Linked DNA regions of Sus scrofa. The protein of the gene in region 2 purifies or fractionates together with the protein of the main gene of each other region. This does not show direct contact. Links are inferred from orthologs where the notes say so. Each region holds a gene or a part of one and is shown on either strand. Other genes may lie near its edges.

Evidence for each region.
Region 1: the proteins of SLC39A12 (region 2) and ABHD12 purify together in Homo sapiens (co-immunoprecipitation; 3 studies listed by BioGRID and IntAct, counting the BioPlex papers as one, with this or other methods). This does not show direct contact. The link is inferred for Sus scrofa from reciprocal best matches to the Homo sapiens genes SLC39A12 and ABHD12.
Region 3: the proteins of SLC39A12 (region 2) and NAT14 purify together in Homo sapiens (co-immunoprecipitation; 3 studies listed by BioGRID and IntAct, counting the BioPlex papers as one, with this or other methods). This does not show direct contact. The link is inferred for Sus scrofa from reciprocal best matches to the Homo sapiens genes SLC39A12 and NAT14.

What each region holds. Positions count from the first base shown.
Region 1 is NC_010459.5:31,051,508-31,058,984, forward strand, and holds the start of ABHD12 (monoacylglycerol lipase ABHD12), read right to left. Parts: upstream 4,801-7,477; 5' UTR 4,644-4,800; coding exon 4,453-4,643; intron 1-4,452.
Region 2 is NC_010452.4:44,272,654-44,279,688, reverse strand, and holds part of SLC39A12 (zinc transporter ZIP12), read right to left. Parts: intron 2,606-7,035; coding exon 2,434-2,605; intron 1-2,433. UniProt on the Homo sapiens protein: Uniporter that promotes Zn(2+) import from the extracellular space to the cytoplasm across the cell membrane. The transport activity is temperature dependent. May play a role in neurulation and neurite extension.
Region 3 is NC_010448.4:59,635,762-59,643,366, reverse strand, and holds NAT14 (N-acetyltransferase 14), read right to left. Parts: upstream 5,194-7,605; 5' UTR 5,078-5,193; intron 4,812-5,077; exon of another isoform or gene 4,734-4,811; intron 4,345-4,733; 5' UTR 4,301-4,344; coding exon 4,229-4,300; intron 3,451-4,228; coding exon 2,902-3,450; 3' UTR 2,300-2,901; downstream 1-2,299. Other genes in the region: soluble scavenger receptor cysteine-rich domain-containing protein SSC5D, read right to left, coding at 227-535, 817-843, 1,297-1,720. UniProt on the Homo sapiens protein: Probable acetyltransferase. May act as a transcription factor that regulates the expression of coproporphyrinogen oxidase by binding to a promoter regulatory element.

The DNA.
Region 1 (7,477 bases), on a different chromosome or scaffold from region 2:
AAAACTTGATGAAGATGGCATTAAAAATTACCCCCAAAAAAGAAAATTACAGACTAATCTCACAAATAATGATGTAAAATTCCCAAGTATTAACAGAATCTGTCTACATGATGCGAGTTATCAGTGATGATTCAATAATAATGATTCAGCAATATAAAATGATGATTCAATAATATGAGATCTAAAATTACTATAACTCAGTATATTAACAAGTCAATGTACAAAATCCATATGATCATTTCACAAATGCTAAAACAGCATTTGATAAAGCTAAACAATCATTTCTGATTTAAAAAAAAGACAGGAGTTCCCGTCGTGGCGCAGTGGTTAACGAATCCAACTAGGAACCATGAGGTTGCGGGTTCGGTCCCTGGCCTTGCTCAGTGGGTTAACCATCCGGCGTTGCCATGAGCTGTGGTGTAGGTTGCAGACGCGGCTCGGATCCCGCGTTGCTGTGGCTCTGGAGTAGGCCGGTGGCTACAGCTCCGATTGGACCCCTAGCCTGGGAACCTCCATATGCCGCAGGAGTGGCCCAAGAAATAGCAACAACAACAACAACAAAAGACAAAAACAAAAAATAAAAAATAATTTAAAAAATAATAAAAAAAAGACAAACAAGAGTTTCCTTTGTGGCTCAGTGGTAATGAATCAGACTAGTATCCATGAGGATGCAGGTTCAATCCCTGGCCCCGTTCAGTGGGTTATGGATCTAGCATTGCCGTGAGCTGTGGTATAGGTCACAGACGTGGCTCAGATCTCGAACTGCTGTGGCTGTGGCCAGCAGCTGCAGCTCTAATTTGACCCCTAGCCTAAGAACTTCCACATCCCGTCGGTGCAGCCCTAAATAAATAAATAAATAATAATAAAAGACAAAATAGCAGCAACACATTCTTTCGTAAAATAATGTGGCAAAAACACTAAAAGAATTGTCATTAAAGTCAGGAACAAGACAAGGGTACCCAATACCATCGCTTGATCTGGAAATACAATGTAATCAAAAAAGGGAAAGAAACAAGAGACAAAAAAGGAGAAAACGAGACAAAACTTTTTTTTTTTTTTGCTTTTTAGGGCTGCACCCATGTCATATAGAGGTTCCCAGCTACAGCTACAGGCCCAGTCCAGTCCAGGGGTCCAGTCGGAGCTACAGTGCAGGCCTATACCACAGCCACAGCAACATCAGATCCAAGCAGTGTCTGTAACCTACACCACATCTCATGGCAACACCAGATCCTTAACCAGCTGGGGAGACCAGGAATCAAACCCACAACCTCATGGTTCCCAGTCAGATTCGTTTCCACTGCACCACGACAGGAACCCCCAAGAGTCTTATTACTTGCAGCTGACATGATAGTATGCCTGGAAAATCCAAGAGAATTAACTGCAAAAACTACTTGAAACTAAGATTATGTAAATTGTTAGTTACAAGATTAATAAATATAACTAGTATCAATATGTAATATCAAAAAAATCCTATTTTCAATAACAAAAAAGATAAAATGACTAGGAATAAACTTAAGAAATGTATAGGATTTTGAAACAAACTAATGGAAAGAAGACATTTCTGAGACAGGGAAATGTGTATGTAGATTGGATATTACATATTAAACTGATTACAAATAATAAATTATTAATTTTAATTTTGACAATATAATAACAGCACTGGGGCTATATATATATACATATTTCAAAAAAATCGTTTGTTCAAGACATATTGTGAAATATTATGGATGAAATAAGTTGTTTTGAAATAGTTTCCCACCATACCAAAAATGGAGAAGAGGAGGAAGAGATGATTCAAGATTAGAAAAACATAGAAAACCACTGAAAGAAAGTGATGGATACACAGAGATTCATTATATCATCTTCTTTACTTTTGTATATTAGAGCATGTGCAGAATAGAAAGTTATAAGAATGTGCAGGAGGACCCAAACAAAGGAGGTCATGAAAGAAGTAAATAATTACGAAAATTTTACAGGTGTTTATAAAAACACACAAAAATTGCCACTTAACCATTAAGAAATGCAAATTAAAGCTACAAGTTATATGTGTTTTCATCAATCAAGAAAAGAAAGATAAAAACACCTGGTTTTTTTTGGTCTATTTAGGGCTGAACCCTCGGCATATGGAGGTTCCCTGGCTAGGGGTCAAGTCAGAGCTGTAGCCGCCGGCCTACACCACAGCCACAGCAATGCTGGATCCGAGCCATGTCTGCAACCTACACCACAGCTCACAGCAACAATGGATCCTTAATCCACTGGGGCAAGGCCAGGGATCGAACCCACAACCTCATGGTTCCTAGTCGGATTCATTACCACTGAGCCACGACGGGAACTCCCCAGTACAACTTCTTGAGAGGGCACTTTGGCCTCCCCATTTTTTGTTTTCTTTTTTTCTTTCTTTTTTTTCCTTTCCCCTTTTTAGGGCCACACCTGTGGCACATGGAGTTTCCAGGCTAGGGATCAAATCAAAGCTATAGCTGCTGGCCTATACCACAGCCACAGCTACACCAGATCCAAGCCGCATCTGCGAACTAAGCCACAGCTCACAGCAATACCAGATCCTTAACCTACTGAGTGAATCCAGGGATCAAACCCATACCCTCAAGGATACCGGCTGGGTTCTTAATTGCTGAGCCACAACAGAAATTCCTGGCCTTCCCTTTCAAAGTCGTAAACATACACCCCTTGGCCCAGCAATTCCATGTCTAGGAATTCATTCTAGATATTCATTCAACAAGTATGTCTTCCCACCTACTATGTGCCAAGTACTGGAGCCAGAAGCCAAGAGGGCAACGTCCCTGCTCTCTCAGGACTTTCGTTCTTGTGAGGGAGACTACCCATAAAGCAAATCAAATGTGCAGGCAAGCATATTGTCAGGTAAGGATAAGTGTGAGGAAGAAATAAGTAAACAGACAACGGGGGTTGAAGGTGGCACCAAGCCTATTTTGGATGTGCTAGTCTGGGAAGGCCCCTCTGAAGGGGTGACAGTTGAGTGGAGACCTGGCTGAAGGAGAAAATATAGCAGGAAAATGTCCAGAAGAGCATTTCAGGCAAAAGGGAAGGAAGCCAGGGGTAATGCACAAATTTGGTCTTCCCACCCTCTGCTTTTCTTTTTATTCCCATGACAGCCTTTTATTATCAAAAGGATACAGCACTACCTGAATGCTTCTCTTTGTCCTCAACTCAAAAATAAAAATAATCAGATCCTTTTAATACAGTACATCTTTCAAGGAAAGTGCCAGGCAGGCACTGTTTCCCCAAACATTATCGAGATCACAATTTGATTTCTTCAAAGGAAGAGTTCCCAACCTAAGTGTTATGCCAAGCCTGTTAATAAAAGTTCAGTAAGGCCAATCACGAGTTTTTAATACAGAAAAACTTCCCACAAAAGAGATTAGTTTCACAAAAGACAGTGACCACTGCTAAATCATTTCAACAAAAACAAAAATACTGTCAGTCCTGAGCAGGACTGGGAACCACTGACTTAGAGAAGTATATAGCTTAATTTCATGATCTGACTTTTGTATATTAGAGTATGTGCAGTGAAACTGATATTTTTAGGGGCTATTTGGATATTTTACACAAAAGTGGCCACTGTCAATTAAGGGCATTCCAGTTGACCTCAGAAGAAGTGGCTCCGCTACAACACCTGAGCCTCATGCTAACTTTTTCAAACACCATGAAACATTAAGACTTCAAAATTGCCCTAAGTGATCTGTTCTACAAACAGCCAGATAATTAAGAAATTAGCCCAAGGGAAGAAATTTGCAAGCGTGAAACACGTTCCCATCTCAACTGAGATTAGTTTAACATAAACACATTCATCTCCCTAAAGGGAGGCCGAAAATAACCAGGTGACTTCCGGACGGGACGAAGATTCCCAAGGAGATGACTCCTGTGAACACATTCCACGCACCACATGCCAGCTTCTCGCGAAGGACTGGCTTGCCCCCGGCAGCCAAGGATGCGGTGCACCCCCTGCCCCAACACAAGGACGACCATCCCCAAGGACGCGGCATCCCCTGCCCCTGCACACAGCCGACACCTCGACCTTCCCCCAGGACGCGGTGCACCTCCTCACCCAGCACACAGCCAACCCCTCGACCTTCCCCGAGGACACGGCAGTTTATCAGGAGAGGACGCCGCAAAGAGATTCGAGCACCCAGTGAACAGCCCACCTGGCGAGAGGGACACTCGGTCCGAGCGCCCCGCCCCGCCGGGTCGGCGCCGGGCGTTCAAGGCCTCCCCACCCTCGTCGACACGCGCTAGTCGACCAGTCGCCGGCGGGGTCCCCCAGGTCCACCTGGGGAGGAAGGGGCGCGGGGCCAGAAGGGACCACGAGGGAGGCACCTGGCGAAGAGGGACTCCCTGAGAGGGTCGGGGGACACGCGGGATGGAGGGCAAGCAGTCCCGGAGTGCCATGGTTCCCGCTCCGCCCCCGCCGCTCCTCACCTGCCCAGCGCTCGCTTCATGCCCGCGTCGGAGGCGCAGCGCGGCTCAGCCGGCCCGGGGCCCGCTAGGCACAGGTTCTGCTTCAGGCGGCAGTCGGCGTCCAGCGCCGAGGCGGCCGAGCCGGCGGAGGGCGAGCCCGAGACGGCGCGGCGCTCATGCTCCAGAGCGACAGGCTCGGCCCTCTTCCTCATCCCGTGGCCAGCACGGCCGGCCTCGCCCTCGCCCTCGCCGCCAGCCGCGGAGGGGAGCAGCCGCTGAGGGATGCCGCCGCCGCCGCCACTGCTGCCGCTAGCCCACCGCCCTCACGTCCAGGCCGGCCAGCGCGCCCGCCTACAGCCACTCAGAGCCGGCCAATCAGCGCCGGGAGGCCGCCTTCCCCGCCCCCACTCCAGCCCTGGACCCGCCCCCCAGACCTGCCCCCTCCCGGGCGCTTGGCTCTCCCAGCATCCCCCGGAGCAGGCTGCAGCCATCTTAGAGGTGGGCAATTGAAGCCGCATTACTCGTCACCGTCTGGGCGGGGCCGACCAGCTGAGCGGCGCGGGTCAGGGGTCCGGCTAGGTCTGATCATCGCCTGCCTGTAGCCCACCGCACTGCCCAAAGCGGGGGACCCTCCGCTCCCATCCCAGGCTCTCTGACTCCATACAACAGTGGAAACCCCTTAAAGGGGGTATTTACACAACAAAAAGAAAAAGGTGACATCACAATTCTGTCCTAATGATTTATAACTTTTCCTGCAAGGACTTGACTTTTAAAAATGTGTTCAGATAGTTTTGTTTTGTACTTTGTGGTGGTTTTTTGTGTGTGTGTTTTTCTCTTTTTAGGGCCGCACTCAGGGCATATGGAGGCTCCCAGGCCAGGGGCCCATGGAGCTGTAGCCGCCAGCCTATGCCAGGGACACAGCAATGGAGCCACATCTGCGTCCTACACCACAGCTCACGGCAATGCGGGATCCTTAACCCACTGAGCAAGGCCAGGGATCAAACCTCTGTCCATCCTCATGAATGCTAGTCAGATTCGTTTCTGCTGAGCCACGACAGGAACTCCTGGAATATTTTAATAACCTAAATTGTCTCCTGCCTCACTCTGTCTAGTGAATAGAGTGGCCTTTTTTAAATACGTAGGTCTTTTTAAAACACCCAGATCTGGAGTTCCTCTTGTGGCTCAGCGGCAATGAACCTGACTAGTAACCATAAGGATGCAGGTTCAATTCCTGGCCTCTCTCAGTGGGTTAAGGATCCAGTGTTGCCATGAGCTGTGGTATAGGCCAGCAGCTGTCACTACCATTCAACCCCTAGCCTGGGAACTTCCATATGCCTCAGGTGTGACCCTAAAAACAAACAAACAGGCAAAAAAACCTTGATCCAGTTCTGCCACTTGCTTTCTCAAACACTTCAGTGGCTCCCCACCTCACTGAAAATAAAACTGAAAGCTTATGAAATGGGCCAACAGGTGCTACCTGACACGGCCTCCATCCCTTACTCTGTTCTCAGCCATCAGCCTCTCACCCTGCCCCAGCATCACTGCCTACTTGCTGATACAGAGGCCTGCAGGGTGTGAGTGACATGTGAGCCATCACATCCACATGGCTTACTCCCTTCCACTTGAGGTCCCTGCCTTCTCTGAACATCAATTCAAAAGCTTCAGGCTCTCTCACTGTCACTACTCACCATTCTTACTCTCTTCTTAGCACTTTTCACCAATATATTTGTCCTCAGTATATCTGTATCGGTCCATTGCTGTTTCCCATACTAGAATTTAGACCCTGACACCAAGGACTTTGCTCCTTTATCTTCAGTATCTAGAACAATGCCAAATATGCACTTCATAAGTACTGGCTAAGAGAATAATGAATCATTACAACCCCTCAGAAGTGGGTACTATTGCCCCCACTGTACAGGTAGAAAAGTAATTCTCTGAAATTGCAAAGGTTCATTGCAAAGGAAGTCTGTGGATACTGTTGATCCTTGGATAAAATCCCATGACACAGTCCACTATAGAATTGTGTATTTGATAAAAACACTTGGAGTTCCCGTCGTGGCACAGTGGAAATGAATCCAACTAGGAACCATGAGGTTTCGGGTTCAATCCCTGGCCTCGCTCAGTGGGTTAACGATCTGGTGTTTCTATGGCTGTGGTATAGGCCAGCAGCTGTAGCTCCAATTAGACCCCTATCCTGGGAACCTCCATATGCCACAGGTGCAGTCCTAAAAAGACAAAAAATAAAAATAAAATAATAAAATAGGAATTCCTGTTGTGGCGCAGTGGTTAACAAATCCGACTAGGAATCATGAGGTTGCAGGTTCAATCCCTGGCCTTGCTCAGTGGGTTAAGGATGCGGCATTGCTGTGAGCTGTGGTGTGGGTCGAAGACTCGGTTCAGATCCCATGTTGCTGTGGCTGGGGCGTAGGCTGGCAGATCTAGTTCCAACTGGACCCCTAGCCTGGGAATCTCCATATGCCGCAGGAGTGACCCTAGAAAAGGCAAAAAGACAAAAAAAAATAAAGTAAAATAAAATAAAAACACTTACCAGAGTTCCCTTGTGGCACAGCAGGTTTAGGATCTGGAATTGTCACTGTGGAGTCTTGAGTCACTGCTCTGGTGTAGGTTTGGTCTCTGGCCTGGTAATTTCTACATTCCAAGGGCACAACCAATAAATAAATAAATAAAAACATTTAGCTAAATTACCCCTTACTGTAGAGCTGAGATGGAAATGTTACTCGAGGTAAGGATAAAATTCAGAGGCTTTGTAGACCATTCCCAGGCACATTTCTCAGATCACACATCTACTATATATTTGCAGAAAAGGAACACAGTTTATAGGGTCAAATAGAATGAATCCGTGTAACAGTGCTTTATTTATGTATTTGTGTTTTGTCTCTCTCTCTCTCTTTTTTTTTTTTTTTTTTTGGTCTTTTTGCTATTTCTTGGGCCACTCCCGCGGCATATGGAGGTTCCCAGGTCCAATTGGAGCTGTAGCCACCAGCCTATGCCAGAGCCACAGCAACGCGGGATCCGAGCTGTGTCT
Region 2 (7,035 bases):
CTTCAACTCCTCTGCTCTCCCCGTCATCCTGAGGGCAGCTACTATGTGGTTTTTGGAAGAGAATGGATGTTTCACTCCTTGAGAGCCTATAAATCTTTCCAGATCTTTTGTGAGTCAGATTTCACCTGCTCTCATGTGGCAAGAACGGTCTGAAAGCCATAAAAGCCCTGACTTTTGTGGCCACAGGCTCTGCTGACTTATTCCAGTCCCCTCCATGGCATCTTGATTGGAGTCAGATTGTATATAAATGTTTCCCATCATTACAGTAGAACTTGACCTACCAATTAAATTCTTCGCCCATCCCAAGCAGCTTCTCTGACTAAGTCTGAAATGATTTCTACACTGCCGTAATATCCTTTCCTGGAAACTGAATTGAAGAGGCCACTGAGGGGTTGAGTTTCAGCATAGTGAACTCTGTTTTCCTAAGAATGTCTTCCTGTATTTTTCCCTCTTTGATATAATATTTTACATTCCTGTCATTTCAAAAGGCCAACGGCAGGAGCCTTGCTCTTTAGTTATAGAATGCAAGATTTTAAATTGAGGACAGTGATATTTTTCTAGGTTCTTTACGGAGTATGACGTGTTTGGGTTTGGGGAGGAAAGACCATTTCCTAGGAGGATCTAGAAATTAAGTAAAGAGGGAATAAAACTTTTTTCATGGATCTTCAGCCCCAAATTCTGTTTCTGAATGACCTGTATTTCCAGACATCATGGCAGGTGGTAGAAATATAAACATGGAAGCTCCTAAGTACCATGCTTCCTTCCCCCTGGTACCCAGGGTCCCCCTTACCCATTTTTGAGTCCTCACTAACCACAAGGTATTGAATTAATTAGCTTCTTACTTTTTAAAAAAATTTTTGGCCACTCCATGGCATATAGAGTTCCTAGGCCAAGGGATCAGATCCAAGCTGCAGTTGTGACCTATCAGATCCCTAATCCACTGTGCTTGGCCTGGGATCGAACCTGTGTCCTTGTGCTGCAGAGACGCTGGTGATCCTATTGCACCACAGCGGGAACTCCTAGCTGCTCGCTTTTAATGAAGTTTTCTTCTTCTCAGTGAATGTGGAGTCTTAGATATAAGCCTAGCGTGTTTTTGTTCATCTTCAAATCTTTTGTTGGCATGCTTTTGTTACAATCTTCAAAGGCACTACTTGTTGCTGAAGAATTCATTATGGTTTAGAATTAAGGAGCTGAACAATTCTGCTATCATGGGCACTGAAGACTATCTCAAAGAGAAAGAAAAGCAGTTCTAAAAAAAAATATAGGTAAGGCCCTCAGGTCAGTGATGATATTTTAAAAATGGTAACTGTCATATTTTTACTACCCATCATAGATGTTCTCAGGCCATTATTATTATTTTTTTTTTGTCTTTTCAATATCAGGTGCTTTAAATTTACAAGACACGTTTTTGTATATATTATCCCATTGGAACTTTACTGGTGAAGTCTTAGCATAGAGCTCACCTACTGCAGTGATGCTATGGATTACAGGTGAGTGGATTACTGATCCCTTCATTTCCTGGGGCTGCCAGCCACAACTGCGAAGCTGGCACCTCCTGCTTTGGTCACCTCCATCCCAGAGCAGCCTCTTTGGATTACTCCAACGTGCCTTCATTTTTCTTTCTTCCCTTCCCTTCCCTCCTTCCTTCCTTCCTTTCTTTTTTAATGGCTGCACCCAGAGCATATGGAAGTTCCCAGGCCAGGAATTGAATCTGAGCTGCAGCTGCAACCTATATCACAGCTGCAGCTATGCCAGATCCTTTGACCCACAGCACTGGGCTGGCAATCAAACCCACACCTCTGTAGCGATGTGAGTGCTGCAGTCAACTTCTTAACCCACTATGCTACAGTAGGAACTCCACCTTCATTTTTTAATAAGTGCCACGATGTATAAAAGGATAGGAAGCCCTGTAGAATCCCTTCTTTCCCAACATGCAGAGAAAGAGACAGGCTTGAGAAGTAAAGAGATTGTTTAAGAGCATCACAACATGGGCATCCTTCCCCTTATACCATGTCCCTTCTCAACGATGGACTTTTCAGTTGGCCATGATTGAGTTGAATATAGGGAATAAAATCAATTTAGATAAATTAGATCCAAACTATAAAATATTTGTTGAAAGTGCTAGAACATAGGTGGTTGAAAACAAGGACTGTGGGGCCAGCTTGCCTGGGTTTGCATCCCAACTCCATCATTTAGCAGCTGTGTGTCCTTGGGCAAGTCACTTAACCTCTCTGGGCCTCCGTTTCCTTATCTCTAAAGTGAAGTTAATAATAATTTCTAGCTGGTAGCCTTGTTGTGAGGACTAAATGAGTTGATCAGTGTCAAATACTTAGAACAGTGCTTGGGCTTGGTATATCCTAAGTATCCTTCAGTCACCATTATTATTATATACATTGTATGCATTGGCTTCCAGAGTGAAGAACCAGAACTTACTCTCCAGAGTGGTGGGTGACAGCTCTGCTGCTTGATCCTGGGGCAGCTGGCAAGAGCAGCTGAGCAATTGCTGGATGATTCCTGGACTCATTTGCTTAAAGTCTTCTTTAGAAATGGGTGAAAGCCGGTTCTGTAGAAATATCTCCACCAACTGCCTGGCAGAGAAGCAAGTCTGTACAGAAAAAACATCCATCTTTACCACCTTCAGCACTGAACCAAATTCACCCTCCACCTACATCCTTGAGGAGTCAGAACAAAACCGAATGGCTTAAGTCCACATGTGATGTTATTATTACTACATGTGTTTCTCTGCAACCTTTAGTCACTAACTCATTCCTGAGGATTATTTTTTCACCTCTGATTAAAGTTAACTATATCCCACTTTCATTTTGAGTATTAGGTAGTAGGAGTTTTGCTTAGGTTTTTCTTTCCTGAAAAGTTGCACCATGTCTTGCAATGTGTTGGCTGGTATTCTAACCAGCAGCCTAAGGAAGCCATGACGCTCTTGGTGGTTTTCAGTGGGGATGGCTTTGTGTTAACAAAGCTAAAACTTCATATGATAAACAGGAGCTCTGCGGTAATGAGATCATAGCTTTAATACTCTCTGATTTAGGCGTTCCTGTTGTGGCTCAGTGGGTTAAGAACCTGATACCATGCCTGTGAGGATGCAGGTTCGATCCCTGGCCTCACTCAGTGGGTTAAGGATCTGTCCTTGCCGCAAGCTGCAGTGTAGGTCGCAGATGCATTGTGTTCCCATTATGGCTCAGTGACTTAAGGACTCAAGGCAGTCTCCACGAGGATGCAAGTTCAATCCCTGGCCTCTTGCAGCAGGTTAAGTATCTGGTGTTGCAGCAAACTTCAGGGTAGGTTCCAGATGTGGCTCAGATCTGGTGTTGTTGTGGCTGTGGCTTAGGCCTCAGCTGTAGCTCAGATTGGACCCTTAGCCTGGGAACTGCCATATGCTATAGGTGTTGCCATAAAAGGAAAAAAACCTTACATCTAAAAGTTTTAATATGTAGATGAGAATAGTGTATAGTTTTGCCAGCGCAATTGGATGTATTTATCGAAATAAGACCCCAATGCAAGATCACTGTGATCTTTACAATAAGGTTTTTTAAACAATCAGTGATGTATAAGGATCATCTGATTTGTCATGCTGTAGAAAGGAGGGATTTTAAACAAAGGCACACAGCTAATCAGAAAACAATGATGACACATTTCCTGGTTTTCCCCACACAAATATCCTTTGGGACGATTCCAAGAGTTAAAAAATTTTTATCTTGACTGGGAAATATTTGGTTGCATGAAACAGAAGCCCCTCGAATCATCAGACACCATAAGGACAATGTATTAAGGTTATAGAAGAGATCTAAGATTAAAAGGGGTAGCCACATGTGAAGGGAAGCTCAACTGGAAGCTGGAAGATAGGACCGAAGCGTTTTCTTTCTCTGTCTCTTCCAGGCTCAGTATTTTCTCCTTTCTCTTTCCCTCTGTAAATATCCTTTAAGATTCTGGCCTTCTCTCTTTCATTAATACATGGCCATTTGTATACATGCATGGCCCCAACTCTAAAGTGACCTTTCAGTCCCAGATTGGGATTGAGTCTACAAGTCCTGACAGATCTGATGGGTTCGGCAAAGCCAAGGATGGGCTTTCTTGGGCCAGCTGCCTATGCGATTCCATCGGTTTGACCCCAAAGATAGAAGGTCAGATCATGCTATTCAAACACCGCTGCTGAACTCAGCCCTATGGGTGAGGAAGGCATTTCTCAGAAAGGGATCGGACCAAAACTCCAAAGGCTTCTACAGCAAGAAGCAAGAGTGGAAAGCTAACCTTGTGATTTTTTTTTCCCCCTTTATCAAAATTATTTACACCAAAGACAATATTCTCTTTTGCACCATTTACTAATCATGGAACATAATGATTTCGTCATTTAAGAATACTAGCAACACTAAGGGAAAACTTATAACAAACCTCTGATGAAGAATCCTTCATAATAAATATGCTTATTGAAAAATGCCTGACTGGGAAATAAAAGGGTGCTGAAATAAACATGAACAGAAGGCCGTGTGTCTTTCCCCAGTTCACGGTCGAGGAATTGAACAGTTTCCAGCCTCACACTAACTTCTGGTAGAGTAGGGCTCTTCTTTTTTTTTTTTTTTTTTTTTGTCTTTTTGCTATTTTCTTTGGGCCGCTCCCGCGGCATGTGGAGGTTCCCAGGCTAGGGGTCGAATCGGAGCTGTAGCCACTGGCCTACGCCAGAGCCACAGCAACGCGGGATCCGAGCCGCGTCTGCAACCTACACCACAGCTCACGGCAACGCCGGATCGTTAACCCAGTGAGCAAGGGCAGGGATCGAACCCGCAACCTCATGGTTCCTAGTCGGATTCGTTAACCACTGCACCACGATGGGAACTCCGGGCTCTTCTATTATAAGCTTCTATGCCCTTGATATTTACTTGCTAGTCCTGTGCTATTTAGCTCATGGTTGTATGACATTCCTCTGAAATCACTAATCCAAATGTCCTTAACGGTGATTCATTATATTCTACAAAATTCTAGAAGATAAAATGTTTTTGATAAGGAAGAAAATAGAATGAAAATGTCAATTGCCCCAGCCCATAACCTTTAAAGTAGCTTTATATTCATCCATATAATTTACTTTTTATAAAATTTCAATATCCTTGTATGCTTATGTTGATTTGAACAGATGTCTGTGGAAACTTTATGTTTAAAGTGTTGCTTCCAGAACTCTAGTTTTGAGAACCACTTGGAGAACTTGTTAAAAGACAGAGTGCTAGGCTCCACAATCAGGGTTTCTGATGTGGTGGATTCTGGCAAGGACCTGAGAATTTCTGTTTCCAACAAGGTCCCAGGTGCTATTAATGCTGATGGTCCAGGGACAACACTGCAAGAATTACTGGTCTAAATAATACATGCAGGATCTTCACATCCAGTCCCCACCTTAGGGACTCCTCGAGAGTCACCAAAGAGTGGCATGTTAGAAGAGAGAAGAGTGGAGAAAGAGGCTGTTGTGTTTCTTTTGCATGGTCAGCACAGAAAATGCTCATTACTATTCTCAGAAGATAATTGCCTTAGGTAGATAACCCCTACATTTAATAACCTTCATTCTTTAGGCAAATAGGGTCTCCATCAGACAAATGTGTTCCCTTCCTAAGAACAGGCCCTGAAAGAACATTGAAGGAGATTTCAAGGATTAATGTTGGCAGCCACTCTTGTTACCTGCAGTTGAATACACTAAGTGTGACTTTGAAAGAATCAGCTTTAACTGATGCCTTTTTTGTAAGGCCTCATTAACAGAAATTTACTTTTTTAAAATATAAGAGCAAAGATATGTAAGATCACCCAATCACGTATTTATAATTTAGAGGAGCAACATTCATTATTGTTAGGAGTATGGAAGGAAAAAAAATACAGACTGCACTTAATTGGAACACTAACTCATCCAAGATATAAATTTAAAAAGTATCATTTCTTTTTCTTTTTTTTTTTTTTTTTTTACAGCCTTACCTGCAGCATATGGAAGTTCCCAGGCTAGGGGTCAAATCAGAGCTGCAGCTTCAGCCTATGCCACAGCTACAGCAATACTGTAGGGATCTGAGCTACATCTGTGACCTACATTGCAGCTTGTGGCAATGCTGGATCCTTAATGGATTGAGTGAAGTCAGGGATCAAACTCACATCCTCATAGACACTACATTGGGTCCTTAACCCACTGAGCCACAATAGGAACTCCTGTAACATTTCTTTAAAGCAACATTTCTCTGACAATAACATCACTGTAAAGAGCCCAGCATAAGCTACTGGACAACCTACATATATATCCTCAGTTTCCCTTTACTTAAGCAACTACTTATCAACTCCACCTCAGTTTCTTCATCTGGAGGATGGACTAATATAACCTAACCTCATATAGTTGTTGTAATAATTGAATGAAAAAATGCAGGAAAATTGTGCAGTGCCTAATGCATAATAAGTACTCAATAAATGGAAGCCATTATCACGGAATATCCGTCTTTTAAGATTTCATTTTTTATGAAAATATACTTGATTGTCTATGTTGTGCCAACTTCTGCTGTACAGCAAAGTGACCCAGTCATACATATATATATATATATATACAGCTTCCCTGTACCGTACAGTAGGACCTCATTGCTTATCCATTCTAAATGGAATAGTTTGCATCATTGTTTAATATTTCACATAATTAGAGCAGGGAAGGTTTCTATGATCAGAGTCTGAAAAATAACAGATTCAATAAGATTAAGGGATTTTATTTACTGAAAGACCTCCCCAGACACTTTGATAGGCTACAGTGCCATATGCATCTCTAGTATTTAACTTATCCATCCAACAGATTTGACCACAGAACCCCTTTTCAAGAATTATTTGTTAGACTAGTGAATATACAACTTTAGGAAATAAGGATATGAATATATTTATAGGTTGAGCTATCACCTCTTCTCAAAAACCTCAGTGCTGCCTACTATACATATATTTGTCTTTTGTTCACAGCACAAAGTAATCTCTTTGTAATCTAACTCTTAAGTGTTCATTCATTGTAAGTTTTTATATTATTAT
Region 3 (7,605 bases), on a different chromosome or scaffold from region 2:
CCTTTTCGGTTCGGAGGGGGTTATTCCACATTCTCGCCATCCAACAGCCGGACGCTATGGAGCCTATGGAGGGGCAGACCCTGGGTGAGGCGGCGGCTGGGCCCTCCAGGGCCATGGTGAATCCTGGCTTTAGGGGCTGTCAAGGGTTGGGGCATCTGGACGTCTCGATTCTCAGGGTTACAGGGCTGAGGACTTGGGTTCCCAGAGAGGGCCGAGGGCGCCTTACCTGCACAGACGACACCGGCGTCCTCCTCGTGGGAGCAGATATGGGCCTTCCAGCCCCGGTGGGGGCAGAGGCCCAGCTGCCGCTCGCTGCCCCGACAGGCCAGCTCGCTCAGCCACACCGGCCCCGTGCCCTCCCCGAAGAAGGCCCCTCCAGGGGCGGCCAGCGCACCCCCGCAGCCCAGCTCCCGGCAGGCCACGGCGGCGTCCCGAAGGTCCCACCCGTCGTCACACACAGTGCCCCAGCGCCCGCCGTGCCACACCTCCAGGCGGCCAGCGCACCCATGGGGGCCATCAGCCAGACGCAGCCGCTCTGGGGGACAGAGGAAAGGCTGTGACATCCTGGAGACCCTGGGGCCAAGGGGAGGGGAGGGGCTGGGGGTGGAATGCCAGAGCGTGACTGGGAGCCAGCTCCCCCTGGCTGCTGATGCCGAATCCTGGGTGTCTGGGAGAGCAGTGGTGCCCCAGCCTCGTAGGAAGCACGGGGCTGGACGCCCAGGTGGTCCTGAGGGAAGTGGGTCCAGCAGAGGGCAAGGCTGGGCATGGGATGGAGCTGAGCAAGGCCAGAGGGAAGACGTGTTTGGGGCCACTTACCAACAGCCTGGATCCCCATCAGAGCCGCTGGAAGGGAGGTTGGAGGGGTGGGAGGGACAGAGTGAGGGCCTCACACCTCTGACCCAGAAACCCCGCTAGCTAGGAAGCAGGGCTCTGAGCCGAGGGCCTGGCAAGGTTCAGGTCCCTGAGGTGGGCGGGGCCCCAGACGCCTCAGGTCCAGGCAGGGGGCCAGCCCTTCGCGCTCCCCAGAGGCCTGGCTAAAGGTTAAAGGATGGGTGACACCCCACAGGGTCAGGGCTGGTGTGGGGGCGGCAGGTAGGTTCCTGGGGTGGGCCTAAGAGGGTGGGGCTGAGTGTGCCAGAGGCGGAGACCCTGGGGGATCAGGCCGGAGGGCAGAAGCCCCACATCCCCCGAGGAACAGGGACTGGCCCAGAAGTTGGAGGCCTCCCAGTGGCTGAGCTCAGGGGTCAGAGGGCAGGGCTCAGGCCCCTGCATCCCCGAGGAGAAGGGGTCACTCACCGAGGAGGCAGGCCAAGACCCTCATGTTTGCAGAGTCGGGGCGGGGATGGGGTGAGAGGGGACTGGAGCCGGAGAGGGAGGAGGTGGCGGCCACCGCTGGGAGGAAGGGAGGGAGGGCCGCGCCTGCCTGCTGAAGGCGCCTTGGACCCAGGGAGGAGCAGGCTGGGCTGGACGCTCTGCCAGGAGGAAGAGAGGCTGCCGAGGAGGCAGCAGGGGACAGGAGTGGGGGCGGGGAGGGGGCTGGCCGGCGCCTGAGGCCTGGGGAGGAGGGCGTTGGCAGGCGGGAGGGAGAGTGTCCAACTGCAGACACCCACGCGGGAGAAGGGCGGCCCGGCCAGGAGAAGGCACGCTGGGCTGAGATGCTCAGGGGTCGGCAGGCTGCGGGGAGGGATCCGAACTGGGGTGCACACGGGGGTGCGAGCATGGGGCGGGGCTCAATCTCCTCTCTGTTCAGCCAGGGAAGGCTGGTGGGACCAGGGAAGAGGGCTCTGAGGGTAGATGCACTTCAGCCGCCCCGGTTAGGGACCTGGCACATCTGGGGCTCAGGGCGCAGCAAGAGATGTGCAGCCAGACTCCAGGAAGGACTTTCTTGATTGAGACAGGAGACTAAGAAACCCCTCTCTCCACTCCCCTGGGGGATGTGCACACAAAGTCCCCAGCCCGCATCTGAGGGAGGGGAGCAGTGGTCGAGCTTGTGTGTCTCCTGAGGAAACTGAGGCCAGGGGTTGGGCCAATCGAGGGTCAGGCCTGAGTGGGGGAGGGCAGCCCCACACTCTCTCTCTGCACCAAGCAGCTGTGAGGCGGAAAAAATGCAGTAATGGGGAGCGTGAGTCAGAGGGCTGGCAGGGAGCAGGGCCGCCGCCGTGAGCTCACTGCATCCCCCGCTGCCAGTCCAGCACCCCCACCGACAGCTAATGTCAACCCTGGGAAAGGAGGAGCCAGCCAGAAGCGGGGGTTCAGAGACGGACTGGAAAAGGCATCAGAGAGAGAGAGGGAGATGGGCTCACAGCAGTTTCAGGTTTTATTAACAAACGAGTGTAAAAAACTAGATGGGTCTGGCTGCCCCGCTCGGCTCTCACCTTCCCAGGGAAGGGCTGGCCTGGCCGGGCAGCCCTGGGCCCACTGCCCCCCTCCCCTGGAGCTCTCTCCAGACAGACAGCCCTCCTCTGCCAAGGCTCTGCTCACCCCATCTCTGCTGCTTCTGCAGCCCCACCCCCTCCAAGCACAGGCATCAACCCCATCCAGTTCCCCAGGGGCCTTGTCCCATGAGGGGTGCCCCCGCCACGTCCTAACCCTGGGGGGGGCGTACTCGCTTAGCCTCCCTCTTCCCGCCGCACATCTCCCCAGGCCCGTGGCACAGGTGGCACAGGCGTGGCAGCCAGACGGGGAGGTCTCCCCGTGCAGAGAGAACCCGAAGCAGGGGCTGGACAGCGTGACCTCTCTGACAAGTTCAAACATGACAGGCAGACGTCAGACTGCGGTGAGGTCTCTTGCCTTCTGGCGGCCTCAGTTTTTAGGCCCTGAGTGGGCAAAGGGAGGGTGTCAAGTCGCCTGTGCACAGCAGCTGCTCTCTAAGCACTGGCTTCCTCCCTCTGGGGTCTGGAGTCACAGGTCCTTGCTGAATTCCCTCACCAGCGTGTAGCCCATGCAGCCCCAGCTCCCCTCGGCCTGGTAGCCGCAGCCCTCCAGCATCCCTGCCACACCCCACGCGGCCACGGCCACCGGGACCACGAGCCGGGCCCGGGGCTCCCCCATGCCACCTGCCCAGGCTCGAGCCCGAGATTCGGCAAAGGCCAGTAACCGCCTGCCCACACCTTGGCGGCGGTGCCAGCGAGAGACAGAGAGGCGGGTGACCCGGGCCCCATCCCCAGCGCTAGAGCCTGGGGCCAGAGCCAGGACCCCGCACACATCCCCCGAGCCCCGCACGGCCACCCAGGGTCCCCCTAGGCCACCCGGTGGGGGCAGCGAGCCCCACCGGGCCCGCAGACCCAGCTTCATGGCCGCCACAGCCAGGAACACAGGCAGGAGCAGGGCCAGAGCAAAGGAGGCCAGGACGAAGCGCAGGCCGCTGCTGGCAGCCGCCAGGAGGAGCAGGGCTGGAGGCCGCGTGAGGGCGTGGAGGGCCACTCGGTTCTCTGTGTCCTTCACACCAGCCTGCGGGCAGGAGGAGCAGTCAGAGCGGTGGGGCTCCCGTGGGGAGCAGGGACTGGGAGGGGGGGCGGACCCTGCTGGGGAGGGATCTGAGGCAAAGGGATGGCACTGAGCTGGGGCCTGTGGCAGAGGGGCTTGCGGGCACATCTGCCGCACAGGGGTTTAATGAGCAAGCAGGTGACTCAGGAGCTTGGCGGCGGCGGGTGTGTGTGTGTGTGGGGGGTCCTAATTCAGTGGAGACACAGGCCCGAGGCACCAGAGAAGGCTAGATGGAGGAACTGCCCCAAGCCAGAGCAGGATCACAACCCTGGACAACAGGAGAGGAAGCTGGAGGGGGAACCTGGGGGCACTCGAGGGCTAGGCTGAGGCCCGAGGGCTCTACTTTGAAGAGTGTGGGCGAGGAGGCTGGGGGCAGGGCAGCCTGGGAAGTGGGGAAAATAGGGAAGGAGTGGGTGCGTGGTGGGCTGCACAGCCCTGGAACCGTTAAAACTCTTCTGGACCCCCAGGGCACACAGAAGGTACTAAAAAGGGAAGGGGCCAAGCCAGGAAGTCCCTCAGGAGGAAAAAATAGCTCTCCAGGGATCAGGGCTGGCTCAGCGCGGCTGCAGCCACTCACCCCCGCCCCTTCCCAGGCAGGGTTCCGGTGCCCCCTCATTCTGTCCCCGTCTCCTCCAGAGCACGCGGGTGTCCAGCCCTCCCTCACTGCCCTCCACCCTCTCTGGCTCCTTGGCGCCCCGCCACCCAACGCCCCAGGCCCCCTGGCGGCCCTGCCCATTCTCACCTTCAGCATCTCCAGCACTAGGGGTTTCTCATCTTCCCTCATCTCCCGCACTGATAGATGGCTGGGTGCCATGGCAGCCCCCAAGCTCCTGCGCCCCCAAGGGAGCAGGCGCGCACCTGGCGAAAATGAGCAGGTCAGCGTCAGGAGGGCACCTCTGCTCCCCAGAGCGCCCCAGAGCTGCGGACCCGCAGCAGCATCTCCCGGATGAGAACAAGGAGGACAGTCGCGGCCCCAAGCGAGGTCCGAGACAGAACAGGGTTCCCTCTCAACCCGACCACCACTTTAAAGTCTCCCGGGAGGCCTCTCGGCCCCCAGGGGCGTTCAGCGATCTACGCCTGAAGGCCCCGTGTACGCCAGCACTTGGCAAGGCCAGGCTCCCTCCCAAGTTCCGTGGCTGCCCGACGGGTGAACGAAACTCCCCCTACAGCCAGGGAATGGACCGAGCTCCCCACCCCCCAATCGCCCCCGAAAGGGGTCTGTCGCAGGCACAAGAACTTGCAAACACCTCTGCGGGTCACTTTGCTTTTGACAAGTGTGTGTGGGGGGGAAGCAGGGTCTGGAAGGAGTAGCCGGCGGAAGTGACGTAATACTCGCGCACTGTTGTGGGGGTAGGCAGCGCCTGCCCTCAGCCTTAGCAACCACGGTCAAGCTTCTGGAGGGGGGATGAGGAAGGAGGGCGTGGGCTGGGAAGAGACTAGGGCAGGAGCAGCGACCCTGCGGCGGGGAGAAAGGGAAATGGGGAAAGGAGGGCTGTAGAAGGACCAGAGCCGATAGGGGTTGGGGAGGGGGTGGGATGGGGGGGATGGGAACTGTGGACCCGGCAGGGTGGGGGCGGGGAGCGGTACTTACCCGACGCGCGAAGGAAACACACGCTGGCCTCCCGAGGTCGCCTGGTTGCTCAGCAACCGGAGCGCAGGGGGGCGGGACGGCGAAGAGAGCGGATCAATGCTCATTGGTTCCGGAGCCTTCGCGGGAGGGGCCACGTCAGCATCCTGAGCCCTCTCGCTCTCACACTGGCCAACCCTAACCCACCCGGGCTCGGTGACTTTCGTGATGCGCATTCCCACCCACTCATCCATTTTTCCGTGTGGGGGGGTGACTTACGGCGAACAAGTGCCGGAGCAAGGATTTCCAACGCATCCCCCTATAATGATCCCTGCATCTCTTCTTTTTAGGGATAAACAGAGCCCCACATAGGAGAAGCGTCTGGCCCCAAGACGCAAAGCAAGCCACCTGAGAACCAAAACACAAGTGAGACTCCAAGTTCCCAGATGGTGGCTACGGCCATAACAAGGACCTCCCAGACCACCAATAAAACAAAAGCACAAGAAAGACGATTCTGGTCTTTATTAGCAAGCCCAGCCTGCAGCTCCCCTGCCCACAGTTCAGCTCAGCCCAGCCAATGCGGACAGTGAGTCAGGGTCTCTGTGTGGGGCGGGAAGAGGTACCAGTGGTTCTACTCAAAACGTGTGCACCAGCTGGACTGCGGGCAGAGTCTGGACAATCTGGATGGAGGGTAGGCCCTGTGGGGTCATACCCCCAGGTGCAGCTCCAGCAGGGACCACTTGGACCATCTGGGAAGCAGGAGCCCCAGGGATGCCCGCTGGAGTAGAGGCTGGGCCCGGTGGTGGGGTCAGCAGCTGCAGTGCAGCGGTACCTCCCCCCACGCTACTGTTCTCCAGCAGGTCGGTGGCTGCAGCACTGCGGATGATGAGCAGTTTCTGTCCCGGTGGGCCAGGGGCTGGAGGCTCTGCCAGCCCTGGGGGTAGGGTCTCTACCTCCTGCACGCACAGCTGCGTCTGCTCCCCGTCAGCCCCGCTCAGCACTAGCACACTCTGCAACCCCTCATCCGTCTGCAGCGTCTCCAGGAGCACATCCTGGACCACACCTGTGCTGGCCTCACCATCACCAGGCTCCCCAGAGCCAGGTGCTGCCAGCAATTCCTCAGCTGCCCCACCTTGAACCACCAGCAAGTTAGGGGCCTCGGTGGCCACGGCTCCCCCACTGGAACTGGACAGCTGACCTGCCACAGGCTGGAGCTGGACCGTGGTCACCTCCTGGGCCGGCTGGAGCTGGACCGTGGTCACCTCCTGGGCCGGCTGGAGCTGGACCGTGGCCACCTCCTGGGCCGGCTGGAGCTGGACTGTGGTCAGTTCCGGCGCTGGCCGAAGGGGCTGGAGCTGGACCCCACTCACTTCCTGTGGCCCTGTCTCCCCACCCCCCACATTCTGCAGAACTATAAGGCTCTGCCCACCTGTGCTGGCTGTGGTGTTGCTCCCTCCCTGAACCCCCAGTCCCCCAGGGCCTGGCAGCCAAACGACCCCAGCCCCCTGACCAGCCTTCCCCACTGTCCCTGGGCCCTGCCTTGCACGGCTGCCCCCACCACCAGTACCAGAGGGAAGCAGGATGAGTTTGGGGGGTGCAGGTGGGGGCGGGGGTGTGGGGGGCTGGACGCTGCTGGGAATCAGCTGGAGGCCCTGTGCGGTCTGCACCAGGAGAAACGTCTGGGAATTGGGGGCTGCTGGGCCCAGCGGTGGGGCCTGGGCCGTACCCCCTGCCACCTCTAGGGAGAGTGTGGCTTGGAGGTGGGGGAGGACGTGGACATCTTGGGTAGCAGAAGGGGCTGGAGCGGCAGCCAGTGGGGCAGGGGGCTGGGGGCCGGCAGGGGGGACTGCAGAGCCAGAAGCGGTGTTGGCCGGGGCATGCGTCCTCAGGTGCCGCTGCAAGTAGGCGGCCATGACAAAGCTGCGGCCGCAGATGGGGCAGGCGAAGGGCCGTTCAGCAGAGTGCGTACGCTGGTGCAGCAGCAGGTTGGAGGAGTGCGTGAAGGTCTTGGGGCAGAGCGGGCAGCGGAACGGCCGCTCGCCCGTGTGCACGCGCTGGTGCTGCCGCAGGTTGGAGGTCTGGGCGAAGCTCTTGCCGCAGACACCACAGGCGTGGGGCCGCTCGCCCGTGTGCACGTGCCGGTGGCGCCGCAGGCACGACGTGTTGCGGAAGGCTTTGCCACACTCCCCGCAGGCATAGGGCCGCTCGCCTGAGTGCAGCCGCAGGTGGTACTGGTAGTGCGAAGACCACTTGAAGGTGAGTCCGCACTGGCTGCAGGTGAAGGCCCGCAGGCCCGTGTGCACGCGCTGGTGGATGGCCAGCAGCGACGAGCGCTTGAAAGCCTTGCCACACTCGCCGCACTGGTAGGGCCGCTCGCCTGTGTGATCCCGCAGGTGGTAGCGCAGTCCCGACGAGCCCTTGAAGGCTTTCCCGCACTCGGCGCACTTGTACGGCCGCTCCACAGAAGCGGGGGCGGGCGTGGGGGCCGGCGGGGCGGCGGCAGGGGCCAGGGGTTCCTGGGGACAGGTAACCTCAGCAGCCTCGGCCTGCGG